2 linked regions of the Tribolium castaneum genome follow. The protein of the gene in region 2 purifies or fractionates together with the protein of the main gene of each other region. This does not show direct contact. Links are inferred from orthologs where the notes say so. Each region holds a gene or a part of one and is shown on either strand. Other genes may lie near its edges.

The links.
Region 1: the proteins of Prp16 (region 2) and nudC domain-containing protein 1 purify together in Homo sapiens (co-immunoprecipitation; 3 studies listed by BioGRID and IntAct, with this or other methods). This does not show direct contact. The link is inferred for Tribolium castaneum from reciprocal best matches to the Homo sapiens genes DHX38 and NUDCD1.

What each region holds. Positions count from the first base shown.
Region 1 is NC_087394.1:22,049,184-22,053,114, forward strand, and holds the start of nudC domain-containing protein 1, read left to right. Parts: upstream 1-1,320; coding exon 1,321-2,748; intron 2,749-3,931. Other genes in the region: protein IMPACT-B, read right to left, coding at 380-577, 632-865, 923-1,164.
Region 2 is NC_087394.1:24,689,608-24,693,438, reverse strand, and holds part of Prp16 (pre-mRNA-splicing factor ATP-dependent RNA helicase PRP16), read right to left. Parts: intron 2,189-3,831; coding exon 1,676-2,188; intron 1-1,675. UniProt on the Homo sapiens protein: Probable ATP-binding RNA helicase. Involved in pre-mRNA splicing as component of the spliceosome.

The sequences.
Region 1 (3,931 bases), about 2.6 Mb from region 2:
GCGTTTTTATAGATTTGATACAGCTAGTACTTTTCTCAAACATTTGAATTAAAAGCTTTTGTATGAGAGTGAAAAAACTTATACAAACTGCGAAGAGCACATTAAATGTAGATTTGTCGATTATCGAAGATGTAACGTAATAAGTTTATTTTTTCGACAGCAGAATTAACAAAAAAACAAACTTCATTGCTATTGAACAACTTTACCCATTAAGAAACTTCACTTTGCGGTTAAAAAACTAAATGAATAATTATTTTCAGTAGAATAAAGCACACAGACATCTGCTATAGAAAAAAATACATTATGAGCTAGGATTATGAGTTATTATTGTTACCAACGCACCCCATTCGACTCAAACGACATAGAAAAAAACACTCACCATCTAGAAACAACCACCATCACATTGGTTACATTCAAAATTTGTAATAAATGTAAAACACGCCCTCCGGCGTGCGTTTCACCATCGTCATCGCAGTCTTGGAGAATGGTTCCCTGAGAAGTCAAAATTCTATAAGCTGAGATGTTATGAGTTGCTTGAGCAATTTTTTTATTATCAAGTAAAAAATTCATAAATTCTCTATAACAAAAAATTAAATAGAATATCATTCAGTAATTTGGACATGTAAAATACCTTGTCTCTTCTAATGAGTGAACCCGAGCCATGTGACCCTGAAAAACACTTTTTCTGTCTTGTATAATATCCCCATGTATCACTTGTAAAAAAGTTTCCTTCCTGACTTGTTTCTCTTCAACTTCGCCATTTAAAACTTCTGGCTGTGGAGCACTTAAAACTTCTGAACACTCGTCCACAATTTCCTTTAACTTTTCAATCCACTGAAACAGAATAGGGCTTCCCTGGCTACTTCTAAGAAATCATAGTTCAAAAATAATTGTAAGAAGCATAAACACTTCTTGTTCATACTCGTAAATGTTACCAAATTCATCGGAAATTAGCTGCTTCTGCTCTGACGTTAATGTAGGAGCCAATAACTCAAAACTTGGGGGCTTGCTTGACGGATAATCATCATTCAAAGTTATGAATAATTTAACGTTGGGATTAATTTGAATGCTATAACAATTCGTGTCCGTCTCCAGCCGCCAGTTATCATCGTAAATAGATTTCAAAGCTTCAAGTTCCTCACACTGTTCCGCTAAATTATCCATTTTTTTGGAAAACACATTTTAGTTTTGAGGTTATGTTTACACATTTCTGTCATACGTCAGTCATACTTTGACAGTGCGAATTGAGGTTATGATTTTTATTCCAACAATTGTCTTGTAATAATAAATTCAGTGCCACACAGTATTTAATTACACAAGATGCAGTCTCACCCGAAATTAATGGAATTGCGTCCTGATCGATCATTACTGAACTCTGATTTTGACGGTTATAAGTTGTCTTTGGCCGAGATCCCCACAATTAGCGAGCAGTTAAAAGTACCAGTGGACAGATTAGTGCCTGATGTAAATCAGTATTCGTTGCTCCATGCAAAACTCTTTGCTCTTCACAATCATTTGATTAGCGAAAATGATAATGAATCAGTTTATTTTGTTGATAAAGAGTTGAACGTTCAAAAATTTAGCATTGAATCATTGACACACACATTCTGTAAAACAACCGTGTGGACGCTACCTTTACAGAGAGAAAGGAGCTTTGGGGATTACAATATTTCCCTGAAATTTGCCTCAAGTCAGATTGCCGTTGTAGCAGATGGAATGGGCTATCTTTACGTATTAGACAGGGGCTGCAGAGACATTGACGATAAATGGAAGATACTCTTTTCTGGGGACGTGACAGGTCCTGATCAGAAGTTTGTTGTAACTGATGTGGTTTTTAAAGAGGCCCCAAAACCACATTTGCATTTATTACTAACCAGTATAAGACAGAGGGAAGCGAATGAGAGAAATTCAACAATTTTGCACTGGATAACTTTGGAAAAAAGCGATTCGTGGAACCAAGTGGCTTTGAGGGAACTAACAGTTAAAGGCTTCGTCCAGTACGCAAATTTCGAACGCACTTGTGACGCAGTTTACGTAATCAGCGATGATGGTTGCAAATTCACCCTGGATTCGGAAAATGAAATCAAAAAAGCCGAAGAAATTCAAGTTGAAAAGAAATACAAGTGGAGCCAAACCAGTGAAGATTTGACCATTAAATTTCCACTTCCTGAAAATTTTAAGAAAAATTTAGTCCACGTAACCACCGAACCAACCCACATCTCGGTCAAATACGAAAATGAGACTCTCCTAACCGGCAAATTGTATCACCAAATAGACCCTGATGTGACCTGTTGGACCATTGAGTCAAGCACTCTCGTCCTAACTTTACAAAAGTGTGAATCCGGCCTTATGTGGCCAGAAATCGTCGAAGGTGGCTACGTTTTTGGCGAATATTTGCCAGATCCGGCTTTAGTTAGCGAAATTGCGGCGAGATTGGCCCCACTTACGAGCGATACCGAGATGGGGCCGCCCACAGGGACCACTTTCAACAGCCAACAAGTGGAAGAGTGTGACTTTGAGTGCGATAAATTGACTGTGTTTGAACGAATTTCGCGCGATTCGCATGAGGTCACCCATAAAATCAACTTGGGGTCACATCAAGTCCTGCTAAGTGTTGGGTTGGAAGAGAACCAGCCGTTGGCTGTAGGGATCCGAAGTGATGTTGATACGTGTATCTGGCAGCCGACTAATGAAAATGAGTTTCGATTGGTTCATAAGGGTACTTTGCTAGCGCTGGGTTATATTCAGGTGAGTTAAGATATATGGAGGACTAAAACTAAGTGGCGAAACGAATTTGAAAATCACCCAATTTAACCGACTCGGCTCCAAATTGATTAAGTTAATTTAAATTTATGACTTGCTCAAAAATACTTGTTTAAAAAAATTGCAGGAATGTTGGCTTTTAGTTTTTAATCAGCTGTACAAAACTCACGGCTATTATTTTCAAAAGTAATTTTTTTTATCGAGCATTTCACAAAATTTACATATTTAATGTAAAATTGTAAAGCGTGGTAAATACAAACAAACTCTACAATTTAACAAATACAGATTTACTAATCGATATTCCTAATTACAAAAAATGTTTTTTTAAGGTAGCTAAACGTCGTCAGATTTAAATTGGCAAAACCAGCATATTTTCATTAAATACGTTAACTTAATAATTTAGTAGTGCATTGATGACCTTTTGTTTTTCTCAATCACTTTAAGCTTAAAAGTATCTTCAAAATCAAACTAGAGCAAGAAATCAAGAAATGTTTTTATTAATTTTAGTAAAATATATGAGGCATTTGAGAACACTTTTGAAAAGTAAATTCTTTTAATAAATAGATGTATTTTATTTAATTTTTAGTGTTTCGACTGATACGTGTATAAGTTTTTTAAGGCAAATTTTTACTAAACAACAGGGAAGTTTTATAAGGTGTTAAATAAATTGGTACTTGACCAAATCGCACATAAGAATTAAATACATTTTAATAACATATAGTATAAAAAAAATCACACATAATACGTATACGTGTATAAGTAACTTAACTAAGTTACTAATTAGTAATTTAAAATGTTGTGAAGTAAATATGGTCTCTTAAATTGTCTATAAAGCTCTGCTTTAATTCTAAAGAGAAAATTATAATACAATTTAATTTTTTGAGATATCATAAACTTCTAACGAAAAGCACAATTGATCGAACAGTGATTTTAGAATATGGATTGTAATTTAGTTTTTTATTTTAACCTTTTCATGAACGTTATTCACTTTCGGTCTTTCTTTTATACAGAGTCAGTTTAAAGTAACACATAAAATTCGTAATTCTTTTAATTTTAAAAAATAAGACAATGCAAAAACAGGTAAGTTAGCATTTTAATTGAGCTTAAATTTGACCTGACTGCATCAGTCATGGCGGACAATATGGCGGCACCATGACGTCATCACAGA
Region 2 (3,831 bases):
TTTTATCTTTTCAACAAAATTAAAGCTCATGAAATTTTCTACAAAATAGTTATTTGCATTTTTCTTGTTAAGACTAACCATAAGCGAGTTATAGGGTTGGATAAAAATAATCTTTAAAAAAAATGTGCATTAAAAGAAAATGTTTGAAAAACTGAAAATAAAATAAATTTATTGGGTCCAACACTTTATTAGAAGAGAAAGGAGGAGACATAGAAGTCACTAAAGTCTTCAGAGTCGTCTTTAGGTGCTCCATTTTCGTCGTCGTCTCAAACATTGAAAACTAAATTACATTTTTGTTCAGTCAAATATGAATATATAATTAATTCAATGTACATATTTTGAATACATTTTTTAATAAACTGTATGCATTAAGTCCAACATTTTATTCTATCATATCATTTGAGTCATTGAAGTTTCACTCGATTTAGTTCATTTTAGTAGAACAAAAGTTCGCCAGAAAATCTAGTTATAAGTGATGTTATTTTTCATCTTTTTACAACTTTAGGCAAGTTTTTAAACTACATTTTCAATTTTTTGGCAAATTTCGTTAAATCAGACCAACAAATCGTCAAACTTATAGCGTTTTAGTATACATTTCAACTAGAAACACAATTATTTCTTTAAATGTTGACAAAACATGCCAACAATTCTCAAAATTTAGTCAAAAATTGTATTTTTTGCGTTTTTCGAAAGTTTTATCAAAAATTTTGCTAAAACTAACTGAAAGAACATCAAGTCACATTGAAATTAATGTTATTTGGTAATATTTTGACCAAAGATTCACCGAATAAATCGATATTTGATTTTTTTCAAGCGTTATAGCTTGTTCTTCCCACAGAAACGCATTTATTTCTAAAATTTTGTCAAAAGTAAGACAAAAGCTCACCAAATTTGACCAAAAGTAAATTGCATTTGTCTATTTCGTATATTTTTTAAAGTTTTGACACGTTTTTAAACTAAAGTTTTTTGTCAAAGTTTACTAAAAACATGCCGATAAATCACCAAATTAACGAAAAAGAATGTTTTGTCTTTTTTAAGCGTTTTAGAGTTTTAGTTCCAGCTAGAAACGCAAATATTTCGTACAATTTGGACAAAAACAAGCAAAAAGGTCACAAAGCTGTTAACGCAAAATAGTTTATTTTTATATCTTCCACGTACCTAAGCACACATTTAGGGAAAACTAATATTTTGCCGAAAAATTTTACTAAAAGTAGCTGAAAAATCAGATGTTTCACTCCATTCAACTCATTTTTCAGCAAAAAAACTTTTTTTTCAGAAAAAACGATAAAATGAGCAAAAAAAAAACAAATTACAATCAAAAATAATGTTATTTTTTATAGGTAAATTCTCAAGTTTTTTGTCAGAGTTCGCTAAAATTGAACAAAAATTCACCAAAAAAGTCAATAAAAATAAAAATAAATTCAAAGAGGCTCAGAAAAATGTATAAAACGTAAGGTCAAAACTAACATTAATTCGAAACTTCGAGTTTGCACTATTCAATAGCTAATAAAAACCAAAGTTTATCAGTTTTTTTCGTTTTGACTCATTTCAGTTTTCAATCAAAATTTAAAAAACACGAAAAACCCTACAAATTCATAGTAGAACCAAATAATCAAGTACAAAAAGTGCAATTTTTTATTGTCACTAAAATATATTTTTTTCTTGTTATTCTCACCTGGAGCGCATCCATACCAATCCTAGGATTATAAACCTTCAACTTGCAATAACCCGAATCGATGACAAAAATAATCCCATCGACAGTCAACGACGTTTCCGCAATATTCGTCGCCACCACACACTTCCTAATCCCTTCCGGTGACCGTTGAAAAATTTTCGCTTGTAGATCGGACGGTAGTTGTGAATAAATCGGCAAAATTGACAATTCTGGAGCATTTTCAATCTCTGCAAGTCTCTCAGCCAGGACTTCACACGTCACTTCAATGTCCTCCTGACCGGGCATAAAAATAAGGATATCTCCAGACGGAGGTTGGAGGTGGATTTGGAGAGCCTGCTTGACGGCAGCGTCCACATAATCCTCCACTGGATTTTTACTGAAGAGGATTTCCACAGGGAATGTGCGACCAGGAATTGTGAAGGTGGGCACGTTGCCGAAAAACATCGAGAATTTGCTCGAGTCCATCGTGGCGGAGGTGACGATGAGTTTGAGGTCGTGACGGCGAGCCACAATCTGGAAAAAATCAGATGAAGGAAAAAATTTCAATAAAGAGTTTCATTAAAAAAAATGATAGAAAAAAGTTAGGGATATTAATTAATTTTAAAGAAAGGCTGCGGAAATATGAAAAGTCATACCAATCTGTATTTTTCTATTAATATTTTGTTATGGTTTGGAGATGTAGAAAATACACAAATTTGGTGATTTTTGGAGAAAATATGTCCAATTTCAGTTAAAAACGTGCTGAAAGTCACAAAAAAAAAATAAAAACAATTTTAAAATTGTAGAAGCAACTTATATGCCCGGTATCTTTTGATGAAATCTGGTGAAAAATTAGAGAATTAAATTGAAAAAAAGTGGAAGAAAATGTTTTCGCGAGCTAATTCGCCGACTTTCGATCTGAATGTATTTGTGTTTTAGGTGAATTATTGCAATTATATAGTTGGTAATGTTGATTTATTTAAAAAGTTTGTGTTAAAATATCTGCAAAAGAAGGTCAGTACCTGGGGCCCGGTGGCCCAGTGGTATAAGCGCCACTTACGACGGGGGAGGTCGGGTGTTCGAACCCGGATCACGGCAACAATTTTTCTATGAAAAAAAGTGTAGAAAAGGTAAGTGAAACAACACGTAAACAAAAATAAGAGATTGAGAGAACACATAGACGTATAAATGTAAAGCGGAGCATAAAACAGAGAGAAATAAGAAAATAATGCGCCAAGAGGTAAAAGTACGTAAAGGCGCCAAATTGTAAACGTAAGAGCACATTTTAATAAAGAGAAAACACCTTTTGTTTTGAGAGAAAAAGAAATGAACGTAAAGGTGAAACATAACTTCAAACTTTAGCGTTGAATCCTTAGATGACTTAGTTCTCAAATTATAAAAAAAATTAAACGAAAATATTTAATTTATCTCTAAAAATTTTTAGTTAACTGAGTTTGTTTAGTAAAGTTCCGAAAAACATTGTTAATGAAAATCATGGGCACTGTGAATCCAGTAGGATATGCGCACGTGCTCTGCTCTATTTTTGACTAGAAAATGCACAAATTTGGTGATTTTTGGAGAAATTATGTCCATTTTCAGTTAAAAACGTGCTAAAAGTCACAAACAACGTAAAAACAATTTTAAAATTGTAGAATCAACTTATACGCCCAGTATCTTTTGATGAAATCTGGTGAAAAATTAGAGAATTAAATTGAAAAAAAGTGGAAGAAAATGTTTTCGCGAGCTAATTCGCCGACTTTTGAACTGAATGTATTTGCGTTTTAGGAGAATTATTGCAATTGTAAAGACTGTAATGTTAATTTATTTAAAGAGAGATTGAGAAAACACAGAAGTAGAAACGTAGAGCGGAGCATAAACCTAACAGAAATAAGAAAATAATGCGGCAAAAGATAAAAGTACGTAGAGGTGCCAAATTGTAAACGTAAGAGCACATTTTAATAAAGAGAAAATACCTTTTGTTTTGAGAGAAAAAGAAATGAACGTAAAGGTGAAACATAACTTCAAACTTTAGCGTTGAATCCTTAGATGACTTACTTCTTAAATTATAAAAAAAATTAAACGAAAATATTTAATTTTTCTCTAAAAATTTTTAGTTAACTGAGTTTGTTTATTAAAGTCCCGAAAAACATTGTTAATAAAAATAATGGCCACTGCGA